2 linked regions of the Caenorhabditis elegans genome follow. The protein of the gene in region 2 interacts with the protein of the main gene of each other region in a pairwise test. Each region holds a gene or a part of one and is shown on either strand. Other genes may lie near its edges.

Evidence for each region. The genes of interacting proteins can lie anywhere in the genome.
Region 1: the proteins of rap-2 (region 2) and spv-1 interact in a two-hybrid assay, tested with the Caenorhabditis elegans proteins (one study listed by BioGRID).

What each region holds. Positions count from the first base shown.
Region 1 is NC_003280.10:7,925,656-7,932,024, forward strand, and holds the start of spv-1 (Spermathecal Physiology Variant), read right to left. Parts: upstream 3,001-6,369; coding exon 2,850-3,000; intron 2,768-2,849; exon of another isoform or gene 2,690-2,767; intron 2,520-2,689; coding exon 2,382-2,519; intron 1,891-2,381; coding exon 1,803-1,890; intron 1,647-1,802; coding exon of another isoform or gene 1,615-1,646; intron 934-1,614; coding exon 861-933; intron 1-860.
Region 2 is NC_003283.11:15,059,461-15,067,411, forward strand, and holds rap-2 (small monomeric GTPase), read right to left. Parts: upstream 4,628-7,951; 5' UTR 4,613-4,627; coding exon 4,478-4,612; intron 3,663-4,477; coding exon 3,570-3,662; intron 3,516-3,569; coding exon 3,432-3,515; intron 3,369-3,431; coding exon 3,278-3,368; intron 2,581-3,277; coding exon 2,438-2,580; 3' UTR 2,028-2,437; downstream 1-2,027. Other genes in the region: mcm-3 (DNA replication licensing factor MCM3), read right to left, coding at 1-134; nssp-71 (neuronal small secreted protein), read left to right, coding at 924-975, 1,556-1,669, 1,715-1,779, 1,830-1,964; C25D7.9 (Transcriptional regulator), read left to right, coding at 5,675-5,857; otub-1 (Ubiquitin thioesterase otubain-like), read left to right, coding at 6,850-6,960, 7,011-7,754.

The DNA.
Region 1 (6,369 bases), on a different chromosome or scaffold from region 2:
CAGAATATTGCAGTTTTATAGAAAATAGTAAACATTCTTTTTTTTTAAATGTTTTAGTTTAAACTGTCATTGAATAAATAGGTTACTGTATTCAAGGCAGCAAAACTTAAATTCAAAAAAGTAACTTTTACCACAATTTAAAACAACTGTGAACAGTTTTCACTAGGAACATTTTTCAGAAATCTTGCTATCAAAAATGTTAAATTTGAAAGTTTATTAGTTAACATTACCGGATTATTTTCGTATTTTGCTTTTATAAAACGTTTCATTCTAATAGAAAAATATTATAATAATTGTGTTTTACAATTTTCGAAATAAATTTGAACAGATCACAAGGAACATAAGATAAAAAAATTTGCATAATTTTTGGAAAATTTGAGGAGAATATTGTCATCTGACTCATGGTTTTGGTTTGCTATTTTGACATCGCTGACTTGGGATTTAAAGAACTTCAAATACGATTTAGAAAATCTGAAACTCATTTTCCTCATACATAAATAGATGTTCAAATGTTTCACTTTTTCAGCAGGAAATTTTGTTTTATACTATTCAAAATCTTATTAATCAAATATGTTTCAACTTACTCTCCCATAGGACCTATTTCTGGGAGACCGCATTAAACAAATAATTTAGTAAATGAACTGAAAAAGAAGAACTATGAATAAAGGTTGGGAGTGAATTGAAGAACGAAAAGTTGAAGAAAAGGGAAAATAGAAAACCATGGATTGACACATACAAAAACAAAATACGTATGTGTATGTAAACGAAACAGGAGAGCAACCGCTACCAAAAAACAACGTTTCTCGAAATTTTTGGAATATCAATTTTAAGATTTTTTTGTAGATCAGAATGCAGCTTACATTTTGTTTCCAGCGACCTAACGTTGAACTTCTACTCGGCGTATGATGAACCGATGAAACAATATGACGGTTTCTGAAAATGAATAATGAATAATTTTGAATTTAATTTCAATAACACTAAACGCTCTTTTCAGATTTTTAAAAAACCCTGCGTAGTTTTCTACTTAGAAAGAATCTAAATTCGTTGGAAACAACGTTTTTTGTTAAATCTTGAATAATCTAACATTTTAGTTATAACCAGAAAAGTGAAATGCCAATATTTATTGGCATTTCCATCTGTGTGAGAAAGTTTTAAACAATTAAATATTTCAAAAAGGTACAGAAAAGGCGCGACTAGACACACTTTTTTACTGGATGCGTGATTTGGTATATGAGCGTAGACCGTTAATCTAGTAGCGTCTCGTCGGAGCAGCGTTTGCAGAGAAAATATTTTGAACATTTGAAACAGCATCATTCAATTGAAACGATGTGAATGATCAATATTCCCATGCAAAAATAAATCGAATGAATAAATGGCTTGTTTAACTTTTGAATTGTTTCAGTTTACAGAAAGGATAAGCTCAATCAATTTTTCCGAAAAATATAAAACTTGAATTGATTTTTTTAAACAATCTTTTGATGCAAGAAAAAATATAATTCCGAACTACCAGGTTAAAAACAATTTCTCAAGGCTACTGCCAATTAAAAAAACAAGCTATTTAAATTTTCTAATTAATACAATGTTTTAGAGAATTTTCGAGAGTTTTTGAATTACCTTATCCAATTCCTTCCTCGTTCAAAATCCATATTTCACCTAAACACGCATTCCTCCTACCGGTAGAGGGAAAAACGTCTAACTCTCAAAAATCAAACCGAAACAAATCATTGAGAGAGGAAGATCGAAAGAAAAAAGAACGAGGTGAGAAATGTGGGTGTGTGGGAATGAAGGTGACGGGAACTCACAGAATGATGTTTAAAACAGCTGATTCCAGCTGATCGATAATGTTCAGAACCGGAGTCGTATCCACAGAGCACGTATCAAATTTCAAGTCTGGAATGAACAATTTTTCAGACTTCTCTTGACAGGTTCAGAGAAGACTGGTGTCAGTGTACGGAACAGCATTACAAATTGATTATACTGATTGAATGAAACTTTGAGATTAATTTTTTTGAAATCGTTGTAGGTTTTATGACTGATAAAATTCTACGCCAATAAAGTCAAATCGTTACAATTTTTACAAAATTATGTAAAAGCTCAAACTCCTAATAAACAATTACATAACATGTATCTAGAATTAAACCTAATAATAGTAATTCTGAAACTGAAATATATTGGAATATCAGAGGAACTATCAAATGATGCCGGAAATAAAATGAACATTGGCCTAATGAAATACGTTTAGTATTCCTGTGATGATGCACATAAAACAACTTTTTTTTGTCTTTTTCCACGAAAAGAGAGAGTAAAATTAAATGAGAAATGTGTGCAGAAGAGCAACAGAAGAGAAGAAGATGAGAGAATATGCTCTCACTTACACATACCTTTGACGGCTTGCACAAGTTGAAGAGACAGCAAAATGATGGGATTTGTTTTGAATTGAGAGTATTTAAACAAGTCCCGCATGGATTCTGACACCATTTCCAATGATGCATGCACATTTACACACATTGATTCACCGTCTGCAAAATTTGTAATTTCAGATGAGGAAGTTGAGTATTACATAACGTTAATTTAAAAAAAAAACATGTAAGCTCTGGAAGTTACAGTTCGATCGTAGGAAACTTCAAGGATCAGATAAAACATTTAGTGCTCCAAAATAACTGTTAGTACATTATTAAATAGGCTTTTCGATTTTCAAGGCTTTGCTGAAAAATAGTTTCAAATTTTAAACCATTCACCGAAACATTACATTTAAAAATCTAGTTGTATTTTCTTAACCTTGCGCGTTTTCCTGAATTTCCGCTACACTCTATAAATAATTTTTAAAAAAATTTAATTTTCAGACATACCAACAACCGAAGAATTGAGATCCAAAGTTGACCGAAGTCGATTTATAAAAACTGAAAATCGATCAATATCTCTACGTATTGATGCCGGAATTCTGGTGTCAACAATGAAATCGGCATCATTTGAAGAGCATATACTGCTCGTCGACGACATTGCGTCGACTTGATTTCAGTCAACTTTCTGAGAGTTTGTCTGAAAATATTTGAGAATAAATTAAAGAAAGAGCTCATTGAAGCGGTTTCAATTACAAGAGTATTCCATGATCAACGAAGGAAAGGAAGACAACAAAAAACAATAATCATAAAAAGAGCTTCAAAGAAAATATTTCCGTTTTTAATTGTGAAAAAGTTGTGCGCGATAGAGATATGACATAATTTTTCAGACACTTCCAGAATACTTTTAGGAATGAGAACTAGAGAAAAACAAGAGCACATTCCAGGAAAATATATATCTATTTTCTATTCCTACTGAGCTAGTTTTCAAAAAAAGTCCAATAAAAATGCCTTCCTTTCTACTGGAACTATTCCTCTTTTTCACGTTTCACTGATCTCAAAAATTGATAACAGAGGTGGTTTGAAAGTTCATAAACCTTGAAAAGCAATGCTTCAAGATACATGGATTCACATTTTTGTCACGAAAAAAGAAAAAAGACAGATCTAATCAATTAGACTCCCGTTATACATTTTTTTTGGTGAAAACAACGAATTCCTTCTCTTTTTCGCGATTTTGATAGTAGAATATTTTAAAATCAACAATGTTTGAAAAAGGAATTCATCAAAAAGATTCGAATTTCTGAATTTAAAATTTTTAAAGGAGCAGATACTTGAAATGCGTGAGAAAACGCCTACTGGCAAGAACTGTGGTTTGATCAAAGGGTTCGGTTTATTGAAAATGAAAGAATCAGGAAATTTTCTTGATATTTTGAGAACACGGATCTTTTAGAGGAAAATAGGATATATGAAGTTATTTTTCCAAAAAAAAAAAAACAGAAACGGAATGTAAAATAGCAGTAGAAAATAAAAAATGAATGAATACAATTTTTGTCGTTACATTTTTTTTTTATCTACGATGATACAAATTTTCTACAGAAATCCAATTTTATAATTGAATTTATTCTCTTAACTGAATATCTTGTTCTCAAAATTTCAAAATGGGAAACCCCGGAAATTTCAGTTTCAATAATGAAAATAAATTCAAATAGAGAAAAAACATCTTTCAAAATATGGTGTGAAAACTTTTCCCAAAAAAATTCTCAAAAACTATCCTTTTCCTATCCGCATCATCATCATCATGTTCTGGAGCACAAGAGAGAAGGATGACGTCTGCGATTCTTCCTTTTTCTGCCCCACGCTTTCTTTTGTTGGTTCCACAGATTGGGTGAACGAAACGGAAATGCTCAAAAAGCACTCTAGAATGGAAAAAATAACTTTTTAAAATAAGGAACTTTGTTTTTGTTTTTGCTTTGTTTTTGAAACTGGACAACTTTTTTTCGGAAAATTCAGAAAAAAAGGAAAAATGTGTGCTTTTTTTTCAGAAAAATTTCAAGAGAACTCAATTTCAATTTCCGAACTTTATTGTCTTTGTTCTTCAGTTTTTGTGTCACAATTCGAAAAGAGAAATTATATTGTAGAGTATAATTTAGAACAAGAGCATTTTCTTGTTGCAGTTCCCATTATTTTTCCAGAAAAACAAACTATTACAGCGTAACTTAAACAAAAAGTGTTAATCTATACACAAAACATAGCTTCAAATAAACAAAAAAGAAACGGAAAACTATTTTGATCACTGCGAACATTTTTGAAAATATTTTGCGACACTTATTTCAGCCTACCCCCACTTGTTGTTTTCAACTGCTCCACATTAATTTTATATACTCGGATAAAATTAAAAATAACCGAAAATAGAATTCGAAAATGCTATTTTGAGTCACCGTGTGGAATGATGAGACATTGAACGAAAACTTGCAAAAATGGGTGGGAAAAAATTGGGAAGAGGGGAATACAAGAAGATAAAGAAGATCAATTATTTATCAATTACAAAAAAAAAGATTTTTGATGTAGAAGATTATTACAAGAATTCGTAAGAACAGATGAATGCCACAGAGAAAGAAGGAACAAAAACTAAAGTTTATGCAATACATTTCAATAGATTCGAACAAGAAAAAGGTCACTCATGTCAAAATGAGTACTGAGAAGTCAATCGCCGACAGAAGATGAGACCATTCATAGAAGAAAAGGTGTGGAAACGAGACATTCAATTTCCTATAAATTGTGATTCCAAATTGTAAAACAATAGTCATAAGATACATGGAGTGGGACATTTGGGAGGTCTCTAAAGTTGAAGTAACCTTGTCATCAGATGAGGCGTCGAAAAAGTCGCGGGTTTTGGTAGGAATTGAGTGGCTGGAGGAATAGATTCAACGAAGAGATGGAAACAGATAAGAGAAGCTGCTACCGAAAAAAAGGAAGATATGTCAAAAGACAGTTAGAAACACACGGCTAGTATGTACTAAACGGGATGATGATGAGATGACAGCATGATAGGTTTATATGGTTTAGAAGGCAGGTCAACATTTAAATGAATGGGGTAACTAATTAAATTTAAAATTATTAGGTCAAGTTGATTAATACTCCTTACAGCTTGTAGAAATTACCATCAGTTGGAACTATGTAGTCATCGAAATTAGGAGATCATTAAATATGAGCATATCTTTTGACTAAATTCGAGGCCTCTTTAATTTTCAAGTTTAATTCATTTTTTGTAATACCTCCAAAGTATGTAGAGGTGTCCGGTAGTAGAATATTTTGGAAATTTCCGAGCGTCCCTGCTCTAAAATTCGAAACTCATTTTTAAAAGTATTTTTAAGTAAGTATCAGAGTTCCAAACTATTAAAATAACATGTCCTTCTACATACCAACAACTGCAAATATTTTTTAGATGAAAAAATCTCACAAATTCTTGCAAGAAATATTTTGCAAAGGCAAGTCATCATAAATTTCAAAATGCAAAGAACACTTCCTGTGAAAAGTTAGAAAAAAGAGTGGAGATACATGTGGAGCCAATGGAGAAAGGATGATCGAAGAAACTGGAGGAAACAAATATATCAAAATAATGGACTCTTTTCTTAGTTTTTTTTCGGGTCTGGGACCCCCGCTTTGCCGCAGTTTAATGAGGTTTAGAACTAGAAGAGGAAACATAAGAAGCAGAAGAAAAAATGAAGAAAAATGCAGAAGACTCTGAAGATGGGTCTTGTTTTCAAAACGGAAACATTTTCAAACACATATTTTCAGACAAAATATGAATAAAACGAAAATGGAACACACAACAACAAAGAAAGATTAGAGTGGTGATGATGGGATAACAAATAGTAAGATGGGACGGATATAGGTGAGTATTTGCATGCAAAAAAAACCGATGGTTTTATGACTTTTTGATGGTGGAAACAGAACAGAAAAAATACGATGAGAGGAACGATAAAATGAACGGGGAAAAGTGGAAGAAGCAAGGTGATAAATCGATCAG
Region 2 (7,951 bases):
ATTTTCACAATTTTCTGACGATAGTGAAAAGTGTCGGCTTGATTGTCCAAAAAGTTGAGATACTGCTCCGTGATTTCTTGTTTTCGAGCATCCTCGGCACGATCAATGAACATTCCATCAGCTTGTCCGTCCATTTTTTCTGAAAATAAGATGTTTTTAACAAAAGAAACTTAAAATTAAAAAATAAACGAATAGAAACTAGAAAGCACGGAGAAGAGCGGGGAAAATAGAAAAATTCGGCCCAAATTCGCGCATTTCTCATTCAAACAGCAAGGTTTCGCGCGCTCGCTCCGTAAACACCATGACGCAACGCTGCACTCAATGCACCTGAAAGTGATGTTTGAACATGTTTATTTTAAATAGCTATTAATAGCGAAATAATTTTATTTAAATAAAAATGCCTGGAATAAAATGAAAATTGTCTGAAATTATCAGTTCAAAATTGTCATTTCAAGTTTCAAAAAACATCAATAACATTTGTGCCCGTGATCTATGCAAAAGATCTCTTCCAAAAATCTCCTCAATTTTTCATAACAAATCACAAAAATGGAATCTATTGTTTCAGTACTCACAAACTCACAGACACAGATGCTTTTCCATTCTATTCATCCCATCTTTCTTATTTTCTCCCTGCCTCCCCCAGGACGCACCTTTCGTAATACATTTATACATAGAAATGGGAAGAAAGTGGTCACAAAAGCACACATATACACAAAATTTATGCCGTAAAGCTTTAAGTGCTTTGACTTTGTCTCCTAGAAACTTGAGCGCACCGCGTGCTGGAAACCATTGGAAACCGTTTGAAACAACATCTATCGGACCCTCCCGCCGCCGCTCGGGCCTTCACTCATTCATTCATTCACAAAGCTATTTTTTCTGTGCTTTTTCGTTTTATATTCGCAATACGATACGAATACGAAACCATGAAACTTCTACTCGCAATCTCGATTCTGGTACTCTGGATTTCAGAGACAGGTGAGAATTGAATCTAGATTTATAACAGGACTGGCGAAATTTTGAACGTGTTGCCTCCAAGAGTACTGTACCGGGTCTCGAAACGACTTTTTTAAGACAAAATCTATTAGCTTACTATTCTTCAAACGAGTGTGCACCTTTAAGGAGTACTGTAGTATTCAGATTGTTTCCGGGTTTTCTTTATTTAGTTGCTATAGTTTTTTCTTCCGTTTTTTAAGTATCAAAAAATGATAATTACACAAGTGAAATTACTTGAGAATGAAACAATTTTTAGAAAACAGGAGAAAACTGTTCTGAGAAAAGTTAGAAACTACCGTACTCTTCAAAGGCGCAAACACTTTTGCAAATTTAATAATGGGTAGTGTCGAGATCTGATCTAAGGGGCTTGGTGTGCGCCTTTAAGAGGTACAGTTTTTCCAGGGTTCAAAAATGTTTATTTGAAAACTAAGTTGAAAATAAACCGAAAAATCTGAAAAAAAAAGTCGTTACTGTACCGCTTAAAGGCGCGTACCTTTCACGATTTGCAAATATTTCTTTCGTGGCGAGACCTTGGAGCTTTGGAACATTGACTTTTTTTCAGAATCCACAACATGCTTCGTCCAAAATAGTATTCTCAATGCGTTCACTCAAGTCTGCCCGGGAAACATCTACACCTGCATGAAGTTCGACTGTAAAGTGAACAATCCGAAGAAATGTGAGTTTTAAGCCTGGAAATTATCTGTAAAATCTGAATTTTCAGTCCGTCAGACCACTAAAGGATGTAATGATCCTGGAAATGCCCTGGTCGCCTGTACTCAGCTTATGGTAAGTAAAAATAAATTTATATATTTTTTCGTGCAAAAATTAATTTCCAGACGCAATGCCAAGCCCAAGGTGGAACCGGACAATGCTACACTTGCAATGGAGATTACTGTAATTCCAGTCCAACGAGCTTCTCGATTCTCATCTCCATCGTCGTTCCTGCAATTTCCTACTTTTTAATTTTCTAATTCCAAAAAATTTAATTTAAGTTTTTGTGCCATTTTTGGCTTTTGAATTCGTTGTAAAACATCAGTAGGTTGTTTTTTTTTAGTGAAATAAATCGGGAAAAAATTGGAGCAAGTTCATCATGTTCATAGCACACGAAAATTGTATGGAAAGGGGTTGGGTGGAAAAAAAAGAAGGAAAGTCATGCAAATCAATCAAAAATTGACAAAAAAATGGGGGAAAAAAAGAGAAAATGTGAGCCCGTAAAAAATCTACAAATTGATTGAAATTCGAATTTTCGCCATCGAATTTCTCGCAGGTTTAAATAGAAAGTGACACGACCGTGGACGATTTACATGTGCAAATATGGATATAAAATGAGCAATTTTGTGAATCCCAACGAATCGATTGAATGGGGTATATGGAGGGGTAAAAGATCATAAAACAGGGAGAATGGATGGGATGGGATGTTTGGGATGGGGGATGAAGCTTCGGGTCACATCAGAGAGCAACATGATTTGCTTTGTCTTGATTTATTCTGCACATAATTCATTTCTCGTACGATTTCCGCAAATGTGACATTCACATTTTGATTGTTTTTTGCGGAACATTCAGTGAATGGACATGACCAACTTTCGGCTGAAATTTCAAAATTAATTATTTGAATAATGTTTTATTTGAAAATTGTATCACTTTCTATTTTGAAAAAAAATCGATTTTTCCAGAAAATGACTTTAAAATTTCTTTCTTTTTAGAAGTAAATTGTATTATTAAAATAAACTTTTTTCCCAAACAAAATTTGATAAAATGTTAAAAACTTTGTGTTTTGAATTTTCTGGAAATCGAAAGCTTTCGTTTTCCGATTAACAAAATATTTTTTGACCATGGCCATGCAATGATTTACGAAGCTGTACTCCCCGAGGAGGAGAGCTTCACATTGTTTAGAGTGAAAATAATTGTATTCCTTGTTGAAAAACTAGCAAAATTTTTGTTTTTTTTTGCAGTTCTCCGATCCAAATACATTGAATCTAACTCTTTTTGGCAGTGGTTCAGGCGAAAATCGTTGTGTTTGCAATTAAAAATTGCAGAAAAATATGTTTATTTTCACCTGAAACACAATGAATGAAAAATAGATTGACAAATTGCCGTAAATAGCGTAAATTCAAGAATTTTCGCCAAAAACTGTAAAAGCCTTTTCCTCGAGGAGTACACGAGCTGCGTAAATCGACACAAAGCTGTGTAAGAGGTTCTGCGGCTATTTTTCTTTTCAAAATATCAGTTTTTCGTATATTTTTTTAAAATTTAAATTTGATTTTTCAAATTAAAAAAGTCTCACCCAACGCCAATCCTTCCTCTGATCGTACTTGTCTCTGATGTGAAAGATCGCATTTGTTTCCAACTAACAAAATCGGCACATTTTCGGATCCCTGAAGAAATTGATTTTAGTGAATTCACAATTTTTCAATACATTTTTAAAGTTAAAAGCCAACCTTAACCCTGACAATTTGCTCTTTCATATTTCGAATATCATGAAACGTCTGTTGACTGGTGATCGAGTAGACAACAACGAAGCCCTGAAAATAAATTAAAAATAATTTTTAGATAATTAATTAAAATTCAAGATTTACCTGTCCATTTTTGATATAAAGATCCCGCATCGAAGAAAATTGTTCCGTTCCTGCAGTGTCCAGAATTTCCAGTACTGATGGTTGACCGTCCACCTGGAAATTGATTGTTTTCATTCTAATTTTTCTGTTTTCCGTAGTTTTTTAAATTTATTTTGCTTAAAATTACCCAAATTAATTGTTTTTTTGAACTTATTACTCGGTTTCTATTAATTTCCAGATTATTTGGCTCGAATTTACCAGATTTTACGAATATTCAGTCTAATTTTCCTTTTTCTTGGATTTTAGAATATATATGACTAGTTTCGGCAATTTTTCGGCGAATTTCTCCAAATTTAGATTTTTAAAACGCTTTTGCACTATTTTTTACTAGTTTCTAACATTTAAAAGGGAGTTTTGGGAAAATTAAAATTCTAAAGCAATTTTGAAGCTACGATCGCTCGTGTACTCCCCGAGGAGAAGGAGTTTACAGTTTTTCGTTAAAATGCTCGATTTTTGACTTTTTTTGCAAATTCGTTCGGTATTCAACAGATTTTCTCTTTTTTCCAGTTTTTTACAAGAAAACTGATGATTTTTTGATTAAAAACTACTGAAACCGATAATTTTTAGACTTTCGCCGAAAAACACATAGAATCCCCAAAAATCCTATAAACAAGAACTTTTATAGCTTTAAATACATGAAGAAGTAGTAAAAATGCTACAAAATCAAATATTGTAGGAAAAAACTGTAAAATTCTTTTTCTCAGGGAGCAAGTAATGGGAGTTCTAAAATCTTTCAATTTCAAAGCTTAATATAATGTTTTAATGAATTTTTAGAAACTTTAAACCATTCTGAAAATTTCAAGCGCCATGATTTCAACCGAATTTTCTTTTTTTTTTTTTAAATTTAAAATAAAATGAATCGCTCTCACTTCAATTTCCTTGCGATAAAAGTCCTCAATCGTCGGATCATACTTCTCGATGAATGTGCTACTGACAAATTGCACCGTCAACGCCGATTTTCCGACACCTCCACTACCCAGAACGACCACTTTGAACTCCCTCATTGAGAGTTTTTTGCTGAAAATCAATAAATTGGATTAGGTGTGATTGTGAATGTGGTGGGAAAAGTGAGAAAAGAAGAAGAACGAATTATTGTAGTAGAACTATTACATCACCACACACACACAGACAACAATAACCGGAAAAAATGGGAAAGAATGAAACGGAAGTTTGAAGAGATGATGATGATGGTATGAATGAAATGGAAATTGTGAAAGTTTTTTTGTTGTTTCTCGTTCGTTCGTCTTCCTTTTTTCATTTCATTATTGCTATAACATTCTCGGCAATTTGATGTTGAAAAGTAATAGGAAAACTGAAATTAAAACCTCGGATTTGAAAAGTTTTCAGGCTGAAATTGATTCTAAAGTGGAGTAGCAAATTTTTTGGGCAGCTATCTTTAGCTGAAATGTTCAAATTTGCCAACCTCTCAGAGCCACAACGGTCGAAAAATCAATATTTATGTATTAAAGCTCCTTTGTTTTGCAAATTTCGGTCGTTTATATCTAATTTTTTGATAATTTAGGCACATTTTCAGTCAATAGGTGTACAAACTAACAGAAAAATAATGTAAAAACTTTAGAAATCCTCTAAACGAGACAGTAATTGGATAAATATTAATTCCGGCCGCTAGGAATGGGACAAATTGGCCGAATTTGAGATTTTAGTTGAATTTATATATTTTTATTTAAATAACATAAGAATTTTTAAAAAATCAGTCCTAAAACAGACTAATTCTTAATTGTTTATATATATATATATTTATCCTAATATGAATGATTCATAGTTTTAGAAAAAGTGAAATGAAAAAATATATTTAGATGAATCATAGTTTTTTTTTTGAAAAAAAAACTATATATTCAAAATAATCAACTTTCGTTTTTAATGAAGAATTATGCAATTATTTTCGAAATTGGCCAAAATTAAAAAAAAAGCAATTTTCAAGTTTTTTTTTGGAAATATTTAAAATAGGAATCGACAAGGAATAAAGTTTTCAAAAAAAAGACAAAAACTTTTCGCCAAAAAAAAAATCAGAACAAAGAAGGGCGCAGGACGAGAAAAAAAAGGAAATGTTGGTGACGATGAGGGTGGGGGTAGAGCGTTGGGGGGTGTCCGTTGATGCCCTTGAGAAAATTATCGATTCGGGAGTCTGCCCCCGGCTGTCCTCTCCCCAAATTGTGTGCGTGTGGCCAACTACCACCCAACACATTCTTCTTGTTGCGCAGACTAACAGCACCAGCGTCAGCGCCTAAGAACAATGGACACATGAAATGACTGGAGCTTCTTCACGGGAGGGCGCCTGAGATGATTTGGTGGGGGGTCTATGTGGGTTTTAACGAGGAAAAAGAAAAAAGGAAAGGACGACCGGGCACACCAACTTTCGAGTCAACTGATAGAGAAGGAAAAAGCGAAACAAATAGACCGTCTTGAGACGAAGAGCACAAAATTCCGGCCCTGAGAGTGGCGCCGCGCAAACCAACCAGATGATGGGGAGCCGACCGCCGCCGCAAGGACCGGTCTTTGTGGAGAGTTGACGTGTTTTGCGTGCACCGGTACACTAGAGACGCGTCAACTGCATAGTTGGCGCAGCTTTTGTTGGGCTTTCAGAATATTTTTCTGTTATTTCAGTAATGGAAACTTTTCAGCTTATGTAAATCGGGCAAAATTATGCTTTTTCACTATTTTTAAGCTTAATTCTTTTTTTAAAAATCGATTTTAATGCAATTTTGCATTAATTTTAATTTTAAAAGTTTTGAAATGAGCTAGAAGAGAGAACGAAAACAGAAAAGTAAGGAGAAACAAAAACTTCGACTGGTTCTGTTTGCAAACAAAATCTAAACTACAGTGGTAAATTTTAAAGGAACATATTGAACTCTCTAAACTTGGTCCTACAACGAAGTGCGCTAAAATTCATGAAAATGATATTATTTTTATTTAAACTTTTCAGAAAAAATTTCTTCGCAATTTTTACTGTAAATTGAAAATAGAAATAGAAAAAAGCCTTTTGATTTTGCTCATTTCCTACTCAAATTCCAGTTTGTTTACGAAAAGAAAGTACGGTTTGCAAACCGTAGTTCGGTGCAATTTGTCGTAATGGTGAACTTACGTATCTGAGCTCTCGCTTTTTTATTTTGATTTATCGACTTTGGCATTCTCGAAATTGTTGTTCTTTTGCATTTTCTTTTGCATAAAACGCTTTTTTCTTCTCTAAAAATTAAACATTTTCTTACAGGTAACAGGAACTATGGCCAATGAACCCCAAAAATCTGATGATAACGGTCAGGCTGCGGAGGCTGTGGTGACTGATGACGAAATAGTTTTGCAGGACCAACAGTTGAAGACAATTGAAGATGAGGTTTGTTATTTTCCAATAGAAACGTTTAAATTATTCTTCTAATTTTCCAGCAAAAATCTGTTCCACTTGTTGCCACTTTAGCACCATTCTCTATTCTTTGTGCTGAATACGACAACGAAACATCGGCTGCCTTCCTTTCTAAAGCGACTGAGCTTAGTGAAGTGTATGGAGAGATCCGCTACATTCGTGGAGACGGAAACTGCTTCTATCGTGCAATTCTCGTTGGACTTATTGAGATAATGCTGAAAGATCGAGCCAGACTCGAAAAATTCATTGCGAGTAGCAGGGATTGGACTCGGACACTTGTTGAACTTGGATTTCCGGATTGGACCTGCACAGATTTCTGTGACTTCTTTATCGAATTCCTTGAGAAAATCCACAGTGGAGTGCATACCGAGGAAGCTGTTTACACGATTTTGAATGATGATGGCTCTGCTAATTATATTCTCATGTTCTTCCGTCTCATAACTTCAGCATTTTTGAAACAAAACTCAGAAGAATATGCTCCATTCATTGATGAGGGAATGACAGTGGCTCAATATTGCGAACAGGAAATCGAGCCAATGTGGAAAGATGCCGATCATCTGGCAATTAATTCTTTGATCAAAGCCGCCGGCACAAGAGTTCGCATCGAATACATGGACCGTACTGCTGCTCCGAACGGTGGTTGGCATTACGACATTCCATCTGACGATCAACAAATTGCTCCGGAGATCACACTTCTCTATCGTCCAGGCCACTACGATGTCATTTACAAAAAGGATTCGACTGAAGCCTCTGAAATTGAGAATTGATTTCATTTTACTGTAAATTTTTCAACCGATTCTCTTGTCTTCTCTCCCGATGTGCTCTCTCTTTCTCATCACCACTCCTTTTTTCATAATCGTATTTATTTTGCCAGTGATATGCTAGATAAATTGCAAAATTATCTCAAAACCATGATTTATTAACCACTAATTCGAATTGTTTTTGTGTGGATTTCACTATTAAC